Ovis aries: one gene and its partners. The protein of the gene in region 1 interacts with the protein of each later gene in a pairwise test. Links are inferred from orthologs where the notes say so. Each region holds a gene or a part of one and is shown in the gene's direction. Other genes may lie near its edges.

Region 1 (4,043 bases):
AGAGGCCGAGCCACTCCTGACCTTCGTGGCATCCGCCTCCCAGGCTGACCAGAGTCTCACTGTGACCCCACTCCAGGATTCTCAAGGCCTGTTCCCTGATCTCCATCATTTCTTACAGGTTTTTCTCCCTCAAGCACTTCGAAATCTACTTAAGTGAAGATGGGAACCCTGAAAGGCAATAAAGCTGCTAGTTTAATGAACACTAGTTTCCTCTATTTCCACCTGGTGATAATACTCCTTCCCCGACTAAGTGCTTAGTGCACCCTCAGAGGTACCTTGTCTTGTCACCCTAAAATAAGTCTGTCTCCCAGGCTGTTTCCTTTCATGCCCAGGGCAAGTGATTGGCACCTGGACACTCTCAGTACTGAGTTCTGGAAAGATGGAGTGCTGGGTGGGTGGCTTAAGCTGCACCTGGAAAGAACCAAGTTTCCTTCCTCATTTACATTACTGCCCAGATTATGAATGGTGACGGGCTTGAAATTTGGGTCCAGGGTTCTAAATCCATTCTCTTCATATTGGGTAAAAAATGTTCAGATCTGAGTATGGGTAAAGGGCAACCCCTCATTTGAACTGTCAGCCCCTCCAAGGTGACAGAACTTGGCTGTGTTCTCCCTCAGTCCCTCCCCTGTTGCGGGTCCCGGAAGAGTGCCTCTTAGTAACAGCACCTGTGAGCTGCAAGGTGGTTTAATGGAAAAAGCCTCACTTTTACGGAGGGTTTCAGACCTGGGCTTGGGTCAGATGTACAATCTCTCCTCTAGAAAGCTGTAACAAAAGGAGCGTGGGACCCCGTCATCTCCACGCAGTTGCCACCCCAATGCGTCACGCGACCACGATGTTGTGGGTCTGGCACGACCTTCACCAAATCACCATGGGCCAGGCGACCCGGAGGGAAACGCCTCTGGTGCCCCGCAAGATGCCGAGCTGGCAGCTCTGCCACGTAGCTGCAGAGGGGCGGCTTTCCAGGCAAGACTCAGCGTCTCCGCGCGGTCTACCTCCACGTCCGGACTCGGATTGGCCATCCCCCACTGCGCCGGCGCGAGTTTTTTCCGCGCTGGCCAGTAGGCCCCACCCACTTCTTTTTCCATTCAGCTGCTGCGGGATACCGAACTGTCGTGCGTAAGCCTTCTATGCCGTCCTCGCTTTCCGGCTGCTGTTTCTCCACGGCTCTCCCCTTCCCCCCTCCCTTCTCTCCCTGACGGCTTACTTTGCGGCAGCGCGGAGAGCCCCACCCCCTTTCTCTGCGGAATCACCATGGCGGCTGGGGTAAGTTTGCCGGCTCCGGCGATCCAGGTCATCCTATCCGACGCCATCCTCTGCCCGAGCAGGCTCAGCCGGCGTCAGAGGGGTTCTGCAGCTGAGTCGGGAACTGATCCGGGGTTTGGAGATCGTACTGTTCGAGAGTAGGGCCTCCAGGCCCCAGAGGGGAACTGAGGCTAGGGCTCTGGGAGGCAGAAGAGGTGGAAGGGTCTGGGGTAGAGGAGAAAACGGATGCCGGATTCTGGCAATCTGGAGCTTGATAAAGCAGTTCGGGTTCATTGCCGCCTCGAGACGTGGGATCCGGGCAGGTTGGCAAAACTTTTGCGACCGTTTTGTGGGGCAACAGGAGGGACAGGGCGAAGAGGAAGGTCTTTATGGGCAGGTACGGCTGGCCACGGTTAAGGGTGGTCCGGTGGGGAGGTTGGGGAGCGAGAAGAGTCTCTGGACAGGGAAGTCAGGCCAGTTGGACCTCCCTGGCCAGGTTAATAGAAGGGGAGAAGGCAACCCGGAGAACTCACTGCGGGACAGGACCGAAGAGATGGAATGCGTGACAAGAAATGAAAGGGTTTTTAGGGAGACCGAGTTGATTTAAGATGCCATTCGGTTCCCGTGGCTATTTGGAGTGGGCTCGGAAATGTCTTGGTCGATGTGTGTGTCTTGGAAACAAGCGTGATACTTCTGATGGGTGAGCGGCTCAGCAGTAGAGTAGTCAGGCACTCGGCAACCATGAATGAATGAACAAGGGCTCTGGGAAGGGAGGGCTGTGTGTTTGTCGGCAGATGGAGTCTGAGGGACCTAGAAGTTCTGTATTTCTTGGAACTATATTTGAGGGGAAGAGAATGCTTCTAGAGACGTCCTTAGAGAAGGTCAAATCTGTCAACAAGCTTTATTTAGCAGTCGGTGTGTAGTTCTGTCCTCGGTATTTCAGGGGACTCTGGTTACACTTGACGGCAGACACGGAAGAACTAACTTGGTTCACCAGAGGGAGTGAGGTGAAATGGATTGGGATTACTCAGGGAAGTCATTGCTTGGAAACACTTAAGACTGGGACCCTTCTAGTCATTAATGTTTCATTCCCCATCTTTTCCCCACAGACCCTGTACACATATCCTGAAAACTGGAGGGCCTTCAAGGCCCTCATTGCCGCTCAGTACAGCGGGGCTCAGGTCCGCGTGCTCTCCGCACCACCCCACTTCCATTTTGGCCAAACCAACCGCACCCCCGAATTTCTCCGTAAATTTCCTGCTGGCAAGGTGAGTAGGGAAGTGGAAGAGGGGCCTTTGGTCCTGAGAATCCAAGGAGAACTGAGAAGCCATCACTCTGAAAATGGCTTCCATCTTTAAAGGGGATCTTTTCATGTTATTTTTTTCCCCTACACTTCAGAGACTTAAAACTTTTATTTTGAGATGATGGTGATTTATTTGTAGTTAAAAATAGTATAGAATTCTTCAGTGATTTCCTGTAAAACACAAGCTTTGAGGCAGACTGAATGGATTTTGACTGATTTCAGTGCAAATGTCAATAGGTCAGATACCTGCTGTGAGTGAAATTCTTGCCCCAAGAGGCTTAGGGAGATAGATAAATAACCATGCTAAGTCAAGTCCAGTGGAGTAGTACGTGGTAATGCTCTGGATAATATAGACAGCAGCAGAGGACTTGGTTTCTTGGCTTTTGCTTATTTGATTGAGGAATTATGTACAAATATCTAATAATATCTAAATTTGGGGGGTTTCTTATGTGAGTTCACATTGTAGGGGGTAGCAAGTTAGTCATGTAGTTTTGGTTCTTGAGTTTCAGATAGCGTTGAGTTCGGTTAGCAAGGGATATCAGCCTTATATAAAAACTTCTATTCAAAACAGTTGCGCCTCCTGGACTTGACTAGTGAGAAACTGCTGTATATTTTACTTTTGACTATTCTGTCACCAGGTTCCAGCCTTTGAGGGTGACGATGGATTCTGTGTGTTCGAGAGCAATGCCATTGCCTACTATGGTAATCTGCAGTGGCTGTGGGAGTGGGAGGGTCTGGAGATGGTGAGGCGTAGGGGAGGGTGGGGGAGCTGGAGTGGACAGAAAGAAGAATTTCCAGGCACCTGGACTGGTCTTGGCATAACCCCAGAGTTCTGACCTTCATGTTCCGCCTCTGCAGTGAGCAACGAGGAGCTGCGGGGAAGTACTCCCGAGGCAGCGGCGCAGGTGGTGCAGTGGGTGAGCTTTGCTGATAGCGACATAGTGCCACCAGCCAGCACCTGGGTGTTCCCGACCTTGGGCATCATGCACCACAACAAGCAGGTAAGCCTTGGAGCTTGGGGGAGACCACGGGCCGGGGTGGCATCCGCTTCCTGAGCATCCGGGACGAAGGAATAGGAAGGGCGATGCCAAGAACACCTAAATAGTTAAATCTTTGGGATGTAAGCTGGGAGTGCTGGGGAGCGCTGGGCAGACCCCGCGGAGGTGGGAGGTCTGAGTGGACAGACCAGAGATTTCTGCTGTAAAAAGATTGTATCAGATGGTAAGGGAATATAGTTAGATCAGATGACCTCTAAGGTGACTTCTAAAATTCAAAGATGTATGGCTATGATTAGTACAGTTTGAAATGAAGCCAGACTGCACCCTGAAGAAATTTAACATTGAGAGCTTCATTTGTGATACATTTGCAGCGAGCCAGGACTCAGTGGAATAGCTATTTTGGTTCTGTTATTGGGGGAGAAGGGCAGGGACAGGGCTTGCTACCCACTGCTGAGCCTGATCATTTTAAATCAATAGGCCACAGAGAATGCAAAGGAGGA
Region 2 (2,445 bases), on another chromosome or scaffold:
TCTTAAAAAATTCTGAAACTATAAATCTAGCAGCTAGATGGCTGGTGGTCCCATTCACAAGACCAGAGGCATTAGGGAGGAGCAGATCTGTCAGAGAGGCCTTGCTTGGGCATCCTGACTTTGAGTGCGTGGGCCTGAAGCTTAAGCAAAAGGCGGCAGCCAGAGTGACCTGAGCAGAGGTGGTGGAGGAGGCCGTAAGAACTGGGGGGGTTGTCCAGGCTGGGACAGAACAGAGCATAGCTCCTCCAGATCCTCCTCCGCCGTCTTGGGAGGGCAGGACCCCCCGATCTCATGGCTCCTTTTCTCCTTTGCCTCTTCCTGAAGGTGGACAGTGGTGACCCCGATGAGCTCGAACCGCAGTGCCGCAGGGGTTACAGTCTTTGAGGGCAGGATCTACGTGTCGGGCGGCCACGACGGCCTGCAGATCTTCAGCAGCGTGAGTCTGGGCTCCTCCTGGGCTAAGGGCACCTACACTCCCTTTACCTGCGAGAGTTATTTTGAAAGGACGTTCTTTGGAAAAAGGCTCAGCCTGGCCACTGCTAGGGAAAGTGTCACCTCGGGGCCTCAGGCCATCTGCCACGTGCTCTGAAATGCCGCCTCGGAGCATGGGAACCCGTGTGCACAGAGAGGGTTAGAGTGTGGCCTTAGCACTCTCACTCCACCCTGGTCATCTCCTCAGCGAACAGCACCTGAGCCCTGCTGAATTTCCCGCCCAGAGGAAGTGCAATCGTAGACAGAGTGGGAACGTGCAGATAGTTGCGTTCTTCTGGCCACTTGACTTGAAATTGCATTTATTTTAAAAAGAGCTCCAGAGCCATTGAGTGGTCATTCCACTGTCCGTCAGGGCTTCAGGGGGACCAGACGGTGGGGATCTCGGGAGACCCCGCACGCCCGCTGCTCTGTCACCACACAAAGCAAGCGCATTGCAGCAGCTCCTCGACTTCTTTCTGTGGGTGTAGACAGAGCTGGTGAGGCCAGGCCGTCTCCCTGTCGCCCATGCCTGTCATCTCACAAGCAGGTGTGCAGCTGAGGAACGTGGGCTTCGGGGCCAGGGCCCAGCCCGGCAGAGCTCCTCGTCCCCTCAGCCTCTCCCTGGGCACGGAGGGCAGCCGGGCCGCCGGCAGCCGAGCCTGGGCCTGACCACCCCTCTCCCTGCTGCAGGTGGAGCACTACAACCACCACACGGCCACATGGCACCCGGCGGCCGGCATGCTCAACAAGCGCTGCCGCCACGGGGCCGCCTCCCTGGGAAGCAAGATGTTCGTGTGCGGGGGCTACGACGGTTCGGGCTTCCTCAGCATCGCCGAGGTGTACAGCTCAGTGGCGGACCAGTGGTGCCTGATCGTGCCCATGCTCACGCGCCGGAGCCGGGTCTCGCTGGTGGCCAGCTGCGGGCGGCTCTACGCCGTGGGGGGCTATGACGGACAGTCCAACCTGAGCTCGGTGGAGATGTACGACCCAGACACGGACCGCTGGACGTTCATGGCCCCCATGGCCTGTCACGAGGGCGGGGTCGGTGTGGGCTGCATCCCTCTGCTCACCATCTAAGGCGCAGGGGTGGGCCGTGGTGGGGCAGGGATCTGGTACAAACACAGGCAGCACTCCCTCCCGGGGACCGTCCCCCTGGGGAGAGGTGCTGGACCAGACGACAAGGTGAAACGTGAGCTCGCCGGAGGTCCAGGGTTTCAGGTGCTTAAGTCCTCCTTGGCTGTGCAGCCCTTGTGATCTTCAGGCCTGGGTGACCAAGATACACAGCAGGGGACAGAGCCCCTGTGGGTCCTGCCGCCGCTTACAGGGCGGCTTAGCTGGTCCACACATCCGCGGGCTCCATCCAAGCCCACCTCCCAGCCGCCGCAGCTCCGTGGGCCGCCCCTCTGCCGAGGGCTTTCCATCTTGACAGTCCTCGCCCACCGCACACCAGCCATACCGTGGCCAGTTTGCAGGGGGGCGGCTGCAGTGGCTGAGGCCGCTGGAAACTGCCGGATGTGGCCGGGGGAGAGGGGACACAGGCCAGAGTTCCTCACTGTGAGCCTGCAGCATGGCAGGGCCAGCTGCACATGGGCCCCTGCGCCTCCTTCCATCCAAGGGCCCCGAGGATTCTTGTCTACATTGCTGAGCAAGCAGGGAGAACAGAAACTTTTCCTGTGTCTAATTTTGGGATTGCCACGAGGTCTTTTTCATCTTATTCGAGAGAAACCGAGGGAGAAGAAAAAAAAAAAGATACTTGAAGGAAACTGAAGGAAAGTTAAAGCAACACTTGAAAGAAACTGGAGGAAAAATACTTTTTTCAAGTGAGCTTTTTTTTTTTTTGGCAAGAAGAAAACATAAAAGACACTAAGGGCAGTTATGTGTTTAAATGGAAAACCTCCACCCGCCATGAAAAGGGTGGTACCCGCTCCCACATTCTTCGGATCCCAGGGTCCCGAGGCCTCGTAGGGCACGCAG
Region 3 (4,284 bases), on another chromosome or scaffold:
GGAACTCTCAATTGACAGAAGCAGAGAAGGAATAATAAACAGTAATTAATGCAAAAGAAGGCAAGGAGGATAAACAGGATTATAGGAAGGACAAAAAGCACCTTGGAAGAAAAGTTATGACCAACCTAGATAGCATATTGAAAAGCAGAGACATTACTTTGCCAACAAAGGTCCGTTTAGTCAAGGCTATGGTTTTTCCAGCGGTCATGTATGGATGCGAGAGTTGGACTGTGAAGAAAGCTGAGCGCCGAAGAATTGATGCTTTTGAACTGTGGTGTTGGAAAAGACTCTTGAGAGTCCCTTGGACTGCAAGGAGATCCAACCAGTCCATTCTAAAGGAGATCAGCCCTGGGTGTTCTTTTGGAAGGAATGATGCTAAAGCTGAAACTCCAGTACTTTGGCCACCTCATGCGAAGAGTTGACTCATTGGGAAAGACTCTGATGCTGGGAGGGATTGGGGGCAGGAGGAGAAGGGGACGACAGAGGATGAGATGGCTGGATGGTATCACCGATTCGATGGACGTGAGTCTGAGTGAACTCCGGGAGATGGTGATAGACAGGGAGGCCTGTGCTGCGATTCATGGGGTCACAAAGGGTTGGACACGACTGAGCGACTGAACTGAACTGAACTGAATATGAATTGATGTAAATGCAACCACAGTATATCCATATACTTGGCTGTGAAACTTTGCATAAAGGTGGAATCCGCCAGAGAGGTTGTAGAATGAGGAAAGGAGAGGAAACGACAAAAAATGGCAGCGGTCTGGTCCTTCTCTCCTGTCGCTTCCCTTGCCCTCCTTTTCTGAGCTCTCTTTCCAAAGGCTGTCTCAGTTTCCCTTCTAGTCCCTCACCATCAGTACTTTCCCTGAGTCAATCAACATACATACTCATATCCGTTTCTTCTGCTTCAGCCTCTGTGAACCACATCCAGACATGTAGTGTTCACAGTCACCCAAAATCCCTTCCTACATGATTTCGGTTGCCTTTTCCATTTCACTCGCTGATGGCAAAAACAGCTTTTAAAGGCTGCATATTTTGAGGGAGAGAAAAGTAGGATTACGGTAGTTACATTTACTGAAGAAATTTAAAACAGAAAAACTGTCCCAGGAGAAAAAAATTAAAAAAGCACCGCTAGCAGAGGATGGTTTCGATCCATCGACCTCTGGGTTATGGGCCCAGCACGCTTCCGCTGCGCCACTCTGCTGTTGCCGTTTTCACCCCCCAAGAATCATAGAAAGGTCTCTAGATGCCAGCCACACTAATTTCTTTACACAGCGCTCTCTAGTGTCTGCAAAAGGGCGTTAACGTCTAACCTGTTCTTATTGGCTAGTTACTGACAGAGCAGGCCCTTTTCATTGGCTCAATAAACCGGTTTGCCAAAGCAAACCAATAGGCACAAGCAGCGGAGTACGGCGGGAGCCAATCGCGCTGGAGTTTGTTGGGACACGCCGGCAAGCTGCCTCTCCAGTTGTCGGCTCCCCAGAGGAAAGGGGCGGTTGGTGTGGCCTCCATTGTTCGGGATCTAGGACGCCATGAGGTAAGGGTTGTGGGGTGCCCTGGAGAGGTTTCAGGTATTCGACCGAAAACTTTAGGAAGTTGGTCCGAAAGGAGTCGGCGGACTGGAAAGGGCCATGTACCTGGGGGTTGCACGGAAACCTGAGAACTCCGGCTCTAAGAGAAGGGGAGGTCGGGGGCAGTGGAGGCGGGGAAACTTGGCCGGGGATGGGGGGTGGGGCCCAGGAGTCGAGAGGCGGTTCCGACTGTTCGCTCTCTGGGGGGTTCAGATGAGAGGGTGTCCTCAGGTTCCAGGAGGAGCACCCCCACACCTCCTATTTAGACTGAGATGGCTGGAACGTGTCTCATTCATCCTCAATGCCAGTTGCTTGACATACACGATACGCCTGATAGATGCTTTTACTACATGAACGAATGAATAAGCAGTCACATTAGTCTGCGAAGTATTAGGGTTGGCGGGACCCGGCGATTATGGGATGTTTCTTGTAGGGCTCTCTTTAATGTGGTTTGATGTGAATCAGTTATCCAGTCATGGGGAGTGAGGCTGGACATTTGGAAGGTGTAGAAGTGTAAGTGAGAATGGGATCCTTTGGCTTCCAAAGGGAAGTGCAGAGCGATAGAGGTAGGCTAACCTGAAATCATACGGCCGGTACCGAGGAGATTGCTTCAATGAGATGAAAAGAAAGTTAAAATATGTTAATAATGCATTTCTAGGGGTGACAGAGGCCGCGGTCGTGGCGGGCGCTTTGGTTCCAGAGGAGGCCCAGGAGGAGGGTGAGTGCCAGTCCTTAGCATCTGTGCCCGTTGGTTTCCCTTTCAGTCATCTAAATAGGAGTGGAGTATCTTACCTGCCTTGTTGAGATCCAGCTGTAGTTTAGAAGTATTCTTCTCATGCTCTCTTGATAAATGAGTTTGGCCCCATTATGTGAAGTCAGTTTGATTTATGTGGTGAGTAATCTGGATTGTTTTTCCGCTTTTTAGGTTCAGGCCCTTTGTGCCACATATTCCATTTGACTTCTATTTGGTGAGTACGGTGTCTCTTCCCTGGTGGCTAAGAGGTTAAAGTGTCTGCCTCTAATGCGGGAGACCTAGGTTCGATCCCTGGGTGGGGAAGATCCCCTGGAGAAGGAAATGGCAACCCACTCCAGTATTCTTGCCTGGAGAATCCCATGGACGGAGGAGCCTGGTGGGCTACAGTCCATGGGGTCGCAAAGAGTCAGACACGACTGAGCGACTTAACTAACTTAACTTTGGCCACTATTCAATTGTTGTTTCTTGGAACCTGGTGTCTCCCTGTTAATGAAGTCATGTGGTAGTTGGAGTAGAAAAAGGGAAGTTTTGAGTCATCTGTGTTGCTTTACATACAAAAAAGTATAACCTGGGTGGGGAAGATAGGTCCTTCATTACAATCGACAGTAACATGATTATAATCTTTGTTCTGAACAGTTAATTGTATCACTGCCTTGTCTGTTAATATTAGGGTCACAAGAGTATAAGTGTTGTAGAATTATCTCTTTTTTTGTGTTGTGGCAACAGAAAAATCTGTTGCATATTATTTTTGGCAAGTAGTATATAGTATATTTCTTGTTTAGTGTGAAATGGCTTTTCCCCGGGTCAAGCCAGCACCTGATGAAACTTCCTTCAGTGAGGCCTTGCTGAAGAGGAATCAGGACCTTGCTCCTAATTCTGCTGAACAGGTATATTCTGTTGGTTTTCTTCCTGAGATTTCATGAAGGAAGCTAGAGAAGTAAATAGCTACTTGGTGAGATTACTGTTGTCAGAGCCTGAACTCCACAGGTTTAATCATTCTTATTTTTCATTGTGTGTAAAGGGAGAGCATCAAGTGAATGTATAAACAGATTACATGTGCGTTCATATTATTATTGGGGAATCTGTCGTTGGGATCAAAGTTTTCTCTTCTGGCATATTCAAGGCTGGGAGGGTCTGGGTGCTTTCAGAATCCGGTATAGGTGTTGATTCCTATTGAAGGAATTGGGGAAATAGTCAAACTTGATGAAAAGTTGCTTGGTATTTCACCTGAGGGTATTTTTGTTTCCTGCTATTTTTCAGGCCTCTATCCTTTCCCTGGTGACAAAAATAAACAATGTGATTGACAATTTGATTGTGGCTCCAGGGACATTTGAAGTGGTGAGTTTTTGAAGATCTAGTCCTAGGAAAGGGAAGTCATGGAAGTGTGAAAGTTTCCTTGGTTCCTGTCGCTTGATTCTTCAGATGCTTATTTAAAGCCACTCTTGGAATGGGAAAGTACAGTAGAATTCCTTTGTCGTGCTGGTCTTAGGGACCAGATTCATCATTGCTATCAGCTAGCTGTAATGAATCAGGCTTTTCATTGCTCATTTTGGAATATGATTTGAACTCTGCTACTTCCAAATCTGGGTAATAAGCTTCTCACTTGTAAGTTTTGTTTTTTCTTTCTTAAATCCCTTTTCCAACAGCAAATTGAAGAAGTCCGACAAGTCGGATCATATAAAAAGGGAACGATGACTACAGGACACAACGTGGCTGACCTGGTAGTGATCCTAAAGATTTTGCCAACATGTAAGTGTGCCTCTCTTTGGCCACAGCAGCAGAACATAGCAGTTGGATTTGAGGCATAGGGATTTAAATGGTGTGCTGTATGTGAAAGAATGTATGACCAGTTACTGCAGGACGGACTTTGCTCCCCAGGGGACATTCAGCAATGTCTGGAGATGTTTGAGGCTAACGTCTTCTGGTAGAGGCCAAGGTTGCTGCTAAGCATCCTGCAGT
Region 4 (3,415 bases), on another chromosome or scaffold:
CGCATTTTATTCTATATGAGAGAGATGGGTGGATGGGAAGAAGAGAGGGCCCTGAGATGATCACAAGGGCCCTGAGGCTGCGTGTGGGGAACAGAATGTGGGAGCAGGTCAGTGGAGGAAAAGGTCAGACTTGGGATTGTCTTAAGGTTGGAGTGACAAAGATTGCTCCATTTCTGACCTCCCCATCTCAGGAACCATTACTACCTTTGACAAAATTAGTGTTAGTTGCTCAAGTCATGTCCAACTCTTTGAGATCCCATGGACTGTAGCCCAGTCCACAGAGGAGCCAGCCCCTCTGTCCATGGGATTTTCCAGCAAGAATACTGGAGTGGGTTGCCATTTCCTCCTCCACGGGATCTTCCCAACCCAGGGATCGAACCCAGTCTCCTGCATTGCGGGCAGATTCTTTACCACCGAGAGCCGGCTGCATGGCTCTGGGTTTGAAATCTCAGTTCCACTGCTCACAAGCCAGGGTGACCTTGGGCAAGCGACTTAAGCTCCCTGTGCCTCAGTTTCTCCCCCGATAAAATGGAGATAGTAATAGGACCTACCTCAGAGGATCATTGTGAGGCTAAAGTGAGCAGAGACTCAATATGTGTTAACTTGTATTGCCTTCACACCCCAAATGCGACCCCTCCAGAAGACCTGTGTGAGTTGCTTTCTCCACTGTGGTGGTTTGCCTGGCCTATGACCTCTAGTTGGGGCAATGGGTAGGGCCTGGGAGGCTAGGTGAGCCTCCCCACATCTCCCCACCAGGTATCGACCTCATGGACATGGCTTCAGAGCTCCTTCAGCCTGCAGGTGACGACACGGCCCGCATCAGCTGGCACCTTCATAGCCTCATCACCAGATACCAAGAGACCTTCAGCGTCATCGAGAAGGTGACTCTGGGAGTCTAGCAGGGTGTCCCCCCAACCTGCTGCTCCCGGACCAGCCTTGACCCTGCCCCTTCTGTCCCCTTCTAGTGCCCTAAGCCGGTGATCGCTGCCATCCATGGAGGCTGCATTGGTGGAGGTTGAGTCTGAGTCCACCCACCCCAGATCTGTTGCTAGTTAGACTTTGCCCCAAGGCGCAAGCCCATGGTCTGGGAGTGGGGGTGGGTCAGTCCTGTGGTTGTTCAGTGTCTCTGGCCTCTACTTCCCAGGAGTGGATCTCATCACTGCCTGTGACATCCGATACAGTACCCGGGATTCTTTCTTCCAAGTGAAGGTGAGCCATTCTCCCAAGCTTCTGCTCCCTTGGGTCCTACTGAGGTATGAGAAATGAGTGGCAGAGCCGGGTCAGAGCAGGGACGGAGCAAGCTAAAGGGGGTGGGAGTGAGCCTCGATGGCTTCATGGAAAAGTTAGAATTGAATCTTAAAAAGTAAAACTTGGCCACGGGGGACATCAAGGGGAGGTCATGGAGTCAGTGTGAGGTCAAGAGTGAGTCAATGTGTGGGGGAGGGGAAGAGGGTGGGGGTTTTGCTCGAGTCAGCGCTGGAGGGGGTGGGAGGCAGGATGGAGCTCATGGATGGAGGGGTTCAGGGCAAGGCTTTTCCTGGAGATAGATGCAGCTGACTTCAGAGTTGGGAGGACAGGGGAGTTGGAAGGTGGGCTATATTCTAGAGCAAAGGAACCTATATGGGCAAAAGTCTGGATGGGAATGAAAAGGGGTGTTTTGGAGGGGCGTCTCCGAGGTGAGAGTGTGGTGGGACTCAGGTAAATACAGAGTTTCGCTGCCACTGAGGCTGCAGTGGGGACAATACTGGGCAGAAACCAAGCACTAACACTGTCGCTTCCCCCAGGAGGTGGACGTAGGTTTGGCGGCAGATGTGGGAACCCTGCAGCGACTGCCCAAAGTCATCGGGAACCAGAGGTGGGTGAGGGGAGCCTGGGCAAGGGGACAACAGAGCAACTCCTAAACAGGATGCCATCCTCTCGCATGTCCTGCCCTCTTGCAGCCTGGTCAACGAGCTGGCCTACACTGCCCGCAAGATGATGGCTGATGAGGCCCTGGAGAGTGGACTGGTCAGGTAGGGGCTGAGGCCTGTGCTGGATAAGAATTCAGGGGCAGCCAGGCTTGGGTGGGGCTCCTTGGATTCCCATGCACCTTAACTCACGGATTCCAAGTGGCCTCCTCTCTCTGGGTGGAGTCTATTGCCCTGTTCCGATTGGTCCATTTCACCAGCGCTGTCTTCCACTTTCTACTGCGATTGGTCACTTCTTCATCCATCGGAGGGAGAGGAGAGCTCTCCTCAGATTGCCTGATTTCCAATTTCTCTCATCCTCAGCCGGCTCTTCCCAGATAAGGAGACCATGCTTGATGCGGCTTTCACCTTGGCAGCTGAGATTTCCAGCAAGAGCCCCGTGGCGGTGCAGAGCACAAAAATCAACCTGATCTACTCCCGCGACCATTCGGTGACGGAGAGCCTCAACTATATGGTGAGACTCTCCATCCAACCAATCACACCCATCTCTGATTCCCTGAGTGACCAATCAGGGCCCAGCGGCCCTTTACAGGCCTTGTCCTCTGATTGGCTCGCTGCTGTCTCCCTCCCATTTTTTCATTGGTCCAACGAAAATCTTCCTGTATCCTTTCTATTACCGGCTGCCATCATTATCCAGAAATCCTGGAACATGAGCATGCTACAAACAGAAGACATCATGAAGTCTGTCCAGGCCGCAATAGAGAAGAAGGCTCTGAAGACCGTCACCTTCTCCAAGCTCTGAGAGGCCTGTCGTCCCAGGTCTTGGCGCAGGGGTCTGGCTTTGCCCCGCCTCCTGCCTGCATGTTCTTGTTCATGGAAAGGGAGGATTCGTAAAGATGGTCCAGCTTGCTGTCTTCTCAAGTCTCCCAGTTTATACCTTTATGACACATTTCTTCCTGCCTTATCTTTGCCCCACGAACAATAAAGCGTAAAGAACCCGGTGTCCTTGTTGGAAAGAGAGGCGCGGCATAAAGAGTAGGCAGTACAGTGACCCTCGGGGCTCTAAGGACCACGGTTGTGTTGAATGTTGGGAATAGAGGTTTGACCGATTGGGAATGGGAGCTGTGCAGGTGAGGACCATTCAGAGTGTTGGTGGGCAGGCCAGGCCAGCCCTGGTAGAAAGTCATGTGACTCCCTTTAGGTTGACAAGGCTACAGATGGTCTCCCTGCCTGCTTCATGCTTAAGGGCAGAGTCTACCCTGCCTGGTACCCACTCAGTACAGAACATAGTGGGATCCGGTGCTGGAGTGTGGTTAGGAGTCAACTGCTACACACTCTTGGGCCGACTGCCTCACTTCTTTAAGCTTCAAGTTTTCCATAGGTAATCTCAACCTCCTGGGGAATTAGGACTAGGTGCTTTCACTGTGGTGGCCCAGGGTTCAATCCCTAGTCGGGGAGCTAAGATCACACAAGCCTGGTGGCACCGCCAAAAAAATTAATTAAAAAAA
Region 5 (4,125 bases), on another chromosome or scaffold:
TCTTTCAGAGGCTTATGTTTTTATTCCACTTACAGTTATTAAAGGAGATTGTCCCACGTGGCAAATTCATGAAACCAGGACATTTGGTGACACTGTTCTTACAGCAGCACTTTGTGCTGGCTCTGGTTGGATTTGCCTTTTATTACGACTCGGCCATTCTCTTTGTTTTGGTTATAATTAATATTTAATATTTAGACTTTCACTGAGCAGACTTTATAAATGTATCTGCAAGGCACTTAAAGTTACAGATGTTTTACCTTAAGAATTATTTAAGTTTTATTGGGTTAAGACAGTTTTTTGGTGTACCATAAATGTATTTTCAGAAAAAGACAAAATGATGGTGCTGACTGGTTTTCTGAAGAGTTTTATGTGCATTGCACAACAGTCCTCAAATATACGACAGCCACATACACTAGGGTTTTTTTTCACTCTTGTCAGAATTGAAACTAATGCCTATGCAGTTAAGTTGAATAAAATGTATACATATGTTTCATATATTACAGGATAAATATATAAATCAAAATTTCCTATATAAAGCTAAATTTGGGAGATGGGGTGGAAATATTTTGAATATTTATTTTTAAAGATGCGAGACAGGACTCTGTGCAATGTATTTTTGTAAATGCTTTTCAACATACTTTGGTAGAGCTTCTTTGCTGCCACCAAATTGGTAAGACGCTGCCGAAATGTTTAAATAAAGAGTTTTAACTTTTTAAAGCGCATGTGACGTTTCAGATGGATAATAAACAGTATGTTCTTTTCTCTACCTGCTTCGTCTCTGCCCCGGGCGATGAGGGGGACACAGTGCGTTGAGCGACCCCTCCTCCGACCCTTTCCGGCCGGGTCGCCTCTGCCGGGTCTGGGCCGGGGTCGCCGGGCAGCGAGCCTCTCGGCGCGCGCGCCCCCGCCCCCGCCGTGCGCGTGCCCCTGGCGGTGGCCGTGCGCGCGCCCCCCCGCCGTGCGCGCTCCCGCCGCAGACGCGTCTCCGCGTTTCCCACGGGCCCCCCGCGAGCAGTCAGCGGCGGGGCCGGGTGTCGGGCGCCGGGGCCGAGCGCTGCGCCCGGACCCCGAGCCGCCGGCGCCCCGCTGAACGGCTGGGAGCACGGTCTTCCCCGGACGGCCTCAGTGTCTCGGCGGCCGCAGCCGCGGCGGGGCGCGCCCTGCCCGCGCTCCCGGGCACGGGGCCGCCGCCGCCGCCATTGTGGCGCCGCCCCGCCCCGCGGTCACGTGCGCGCCCGCGCCCCGCCTCCGCGGCCGCGCGCGGCCCCTCGCGGGCCACCGTAGAGGGCACCCGGAGGCCGCCGGGACGGAAGCCGAGAGGCGCTGCCGACCGCGCCTGCGACAGCGTCAGCCCTGCGCGGAGCGCCGGCCCGATGGCGGCGGCGGCGGCGATGGCCGAGCAGGAGAGCGCCCGGAACGGCGCCCGCAACCGCGGCGGCGTCCAGCGCGTGGAGGGCAAGCTGCGGGCCAGCGTCGAGAAGGGCGACTACTACGAGGCGCACCAGATGTACCGGACCCTCTTCTTCAGGTAGGCGCCGCGCCGCGGCCGCCGCCTGCCGGGGCTCCCCGCCCGGCCGCGGAGCCCGGCGCCCCGCCCCCGGCCGCGCCCCATTGGCCGCGCCGCGCCGCCCCGCGCCGCCATTGGCCCGCGCCGCTGCCCGTCGCCTGGGCGGTGGGAGCGGGCGGCGGGGAGGCGGCCGGGGGCGGGCTGCAGCCCGGGAGCGGCGCCGCGGCCCCTCGCCCGCCCCCGCGGCCCCCGCCGGCGCCCGGGCCCGCGCACTCCGGCGCCCGACCCGGAGCCCCCCGCCCGGGACTGGAGCTCCCCGCCCCCGACCCGCGGCCCCGGCCGGGACCCCGGGTGGGCCCGAAGCCCTGGCCGAGAGTGCGGACGGCCCGGGTGCCGGAGCCGCCGCGGCCGCTCGCCCCCTCCCCCGCCCTGAGCGCCGTTGAGTCCGAAAGCCTCGCTGCGCGCCCCCCGGCTCTCCCTCGGCGCCCGGCCGCGAGGCTGTAGACAGGCTTCTCCTGCTGCGTCGCCCTTGCTCACCGTGGTACTGACCCGGCTGTTTCCGTGAAGCCGGTGTTTTTGTGGTGCGTGTGCGGCTCGCTGGCCACGTGCGGCAGTTGAGCTTCTGGAATGTGAGTCCCTCACAGGATGGGCCGTGAGCGCAGAGGAGAGGTCAGGTAGCTTCGGGAACTACTGCCTGCTCGGCCGCACTGGGTGGAACGCGATGTCGCTGTTGGGGTGGCCTCAGGGGCTGCCCGGGCGCCGCCTCGCTCGGTTCTGCTCGGGACTGCGGCGCGCCACACCGTTTCTGCGGTCACTGCCGCTGCTGCTGTGATTTCCTAGCTGTCTCTCTGCGCGTCAGGCATTGCTGTATATTACATAAATGCTGTCAGCCTTTAGGGTTCTTGCCAGAAAACACTTGGGCTATTTGTTAGCATTTAAAGATAATTTTAGAGGATTTAATCTGTTCTGCGGAATGTTTGTGTTTTTTTTTTCCAAACTGTCCCACGGCGGCAAATACTTTGCTGTGATGTTTATGGGCAGTAAGGTCTGCCTTAAAACATTTAGGCCTGGATATAAATTTTTCTTTTAACGGCGGGTTGAATCAGTGTCTTGGGAACTCTGGCAGTGCTTTCTGTTTTGGTGGTTGGTTGGTTGGGACGCAGTGCGAGTGAGCCTGCCTCAGATCGTATTTGGGCTCGGTGGCCCAGAGGACCAGGGAGCAGGGAGTTAATTGTCCTTCAGGGGATGAGTCAAAGGTGTAAGCAGGTTTAAAGTCTGTAACATGGAGCCTTCTGCCCGGAGCCCAGCCAATGAGATCTGTAGGATGGGAGCTCTGTAGCGCTTGAGATTTGCCTGGTGCTTGCTGTTCTCAGGGATTTGTGTATAAATATTTGCCCCAGTGATTAATCAGCAAAACTGGATCGTCCCAAAAATAAACACAGCGTTCCTTGTTGTGAGCCAGCTCTGCAGTCGCCGCTGTGCCAGGAGCGCGATTGTCGATTAGCTTTGAAGTGGCCTCCCTGTGCCCGAAGTGTGCTTTGTGGTGACCACCAGCCCTGCCTTGACTTGTATTCACATTTCTCCTCTGCTCAGTGACCTGTAACCCAGGACAACTTGCTAAACCTCTTCTCCACGTCTTGGCTTCCTCTTTGGTCTTTGAGGGGCTCCTACACGTGTTCAGGACTCCTGAGAAGTGAACGGTCAGCTGTGGACCCAAGCAGGGTGGCGTTAGTGGGCGTCCAGAGGGCCCAGCTGAGTCGGCCTGCAGGGCGTCATCCGTGCTCAGACCTGCGGTTGCAGTCCTGGCTTAGAGCTCTTTGTGGCTGGCAGCTTCCGAAGAAGTCAGCCTCACTCTTGTAATGACTTTTTATAAGTGCTTTTAAGCATTTATATAAATGTACAATTTGATGGGTTTTGACATATGTATTCACGCAAGAAATTATCACCAAAGTGCTGAAAATACTCCTCATGCCCCAGAGCTTTCTCTTCTGCCTTTAAGATGACTTTTCACCCCTGGCCCCCAGGCGTCCACTGATCTCTGTTATGATACGTGGGTTTGCATTTTCCGGGATTTTGTGTAAGTAGCATTGTATAGCATGTCCTCTTTTTATCTGACTTCTCAAGTTTCCTTAGCGTGACCGTTCGGAGGCCCACCCTTAACACGTGTCACTAGTTAATTATTGTTGAGTGGCAGCGGTTGCGGGGGCCGCATCGTCTCATCCGGTCACCTGTTGGATAAATTCACCTATCTGTGCTATTTTAATTCGCTTACACTGTGTCCCCCAGCAGCCTGAGGAGGGGGAGAGGAACTGGTTTGGATTTACAGGGTGTGTGCTGCGCGAGGGGGGCAGGAGCTGCTGGTTCCAAGGACGAGGGCGGCCGAGCTCCGTCCCAGGTGTTACGGGCACTCTCTTCAGCCTTCTCTCTGCCGGGACAGGAAGGGCTCAGACATGTCCATCTGCGGCGTGCAGAAAGCGCGTCAGGCTTCGGGGCACCTGTCGCTGCTGGGGGGTTTCCAGCCGCTGGCGGTTCTCCCGTGGGCAGGGCTGCCAGGACTGTGTGGCTGTGGTCACTGGGAACCGGGGCTGCTGCCCCAGGAACCCGGCCTGTCTGCCTCT

The links.
Region 2: the proteins of EEF1G (region 1) and KLHL18 interact in binary tests that used the Homo sapiens proteins (3 or more experiments, as listed by UniProt). The two-hybrid records come from large-scale screens. The link is inferred for Ovis aries from reciprocal best matches to the Homo sapiens genes EEF1G and KLHL18.
Region 3: the proteins of EEF1G (region 1) and ILF2 interact in a two-hybrid assay, tested with the Homo sapiens proteins (2 studies listed by BioGRID and IntAct). The two-hybrid records come from large-scale screens. The link is inferred for Ovis aries from reciprocal best matches to the Homo sapiens genes EEF1G and ILF2.
Region 4: the proteins of EEF1G (region 1) and ECH1 interact in a two-hybrid assay, tested with the Homo sapiens proteins (2 studies listed by BioGRID and IntAct). The link is inferred for Ovis aries from reciprocal best matches to the Homo sapiens genes EEF1G and ECH1.
Region 5: the proteins of EEF1G (region 1) and GET4 interact in a two-hybrid assay, tested with the Homo sapiens proteins (2 studies listed by BioGRID and IntAct, with this or other methods). The link is inferred for Ovis aries from reciprocal best matches to the Homo sapiens genes EEF1G and GET4.

What each region holds. Positions count from the first base shown.
Region 1 is NC_056074.1:37,460,077-37,464,119, reverse strand, and holds the start of EEF1G (elongation factor 1-gamma), read left to right. Parts: upstream 1-1,232; 5' UTR 1,233-1,251; coding exon 1,252-1,263; intron 1,264-2,351; coding exon 2,352-2,510; intron 2,511-3,183; coding exon 3,184-3,247; intron 3,248-3,403; coding exon 3,404-3,546; intron 3,547-4,020; coding exon 4,021-4,043. Other genes in the region: TUT1 (speckle targeted PIP5K1A-regulated poly(A) polymerase), read left to right, coding at 1-157. UniProt on the Homo sapiens protein: Probably plays a role in anchoring the complex to other cellular components.
Region 2 is NC_056072.1:52,314,106-52,316,550, reverse strand, and holds part of KLHL18 (kelch-like protein 18), read left to right. Parts: intron 1-324; coding exon 325-436; intron 437-1,161; coding exon 1,162-1,548; 3' UTR 1,549-2,445. UniProt on the Homo sapiens protein: Substrate-specific adapter of a BCR (BTB-CUL3-RBX1) E3 ubiquitin-protein ligase complex required for mitotic progression and cytokinesis.
Region 3 is NC_056054.1:104,112,171-104,116,454, reverse strand, and holds the start of ILF2 (interleukin enhancer-binding factor 2), read left to right. Parts: upstream 1-1,481; 5' UTR 1,482-1,532; coding exon 1,533-1,537; intron 1,538-2,229; coding exon 2,230-2,289; intron 2,290-2,496; coding exon 2,497-2,539; intron 2,540-3,107; coding exon 3,108-3,212; intron 3,213-3,585; coding exon 3,586-3,663; intron 3,664-3,971; coding exon 3,972-4,074; intron 4,075-4,284. UniProt on the Homo sapiens protein: Chromatin-interacting protein that forms a stable heterodimer with interleukin enhancer-binding factor 3/ILF3 and plays a role in several biological processes including transcription, innate immunity or cell growth.
Region 4 is NC_056067.1:47,913,160-47,916,574, reverse strand, and holds the end of ECH1 (delta(3,5)-Delta(2,4)-dienoyl-CoA isomerase, mitochondrial), read left to right. Parts: intron 1-756; coding exon 757-881; intron 882-965; coding exon 966-1,014; intron 1,015-1,144; coding exon 1,145-1,209; intron 1,210-1,784; coding exon 1,785-1,855; intron 1,856-1,940; coding exon 1,941-2,012; intron 2,013-2,270; coding exon 2,271-2,709; 3' UTR 2,710-2,908; downstream 2,909-3,415. UniProt on the Homo sapiens protein: Isomerization of 3-trans,5-cis-dienoyl-CoA to 2-trans,4-trans-dienoyl-CoA.
Region 5 is NC_056077.1:42,184,920-42,189,044, reverse strand, and holds the start of GET4 (Golgi to ER traffic protein 4 homolog), read left to right. Parts: upstream 1-1,315; 5' UTR 1,316-1,373; coding exon 1,374-1,528; intron 1,529-4,125. UniProt on the Homo sapiens protein: As part of a cytosolic protein quality control complex, the BAG6/BAT3 complex, maintains misfolded and hydrophobic patches-containing proteins in a soluble state and participates in their proper delivery to the endoplasmic reticulum or alternatively can promote their sorting to the proteasome where they undergo degradation.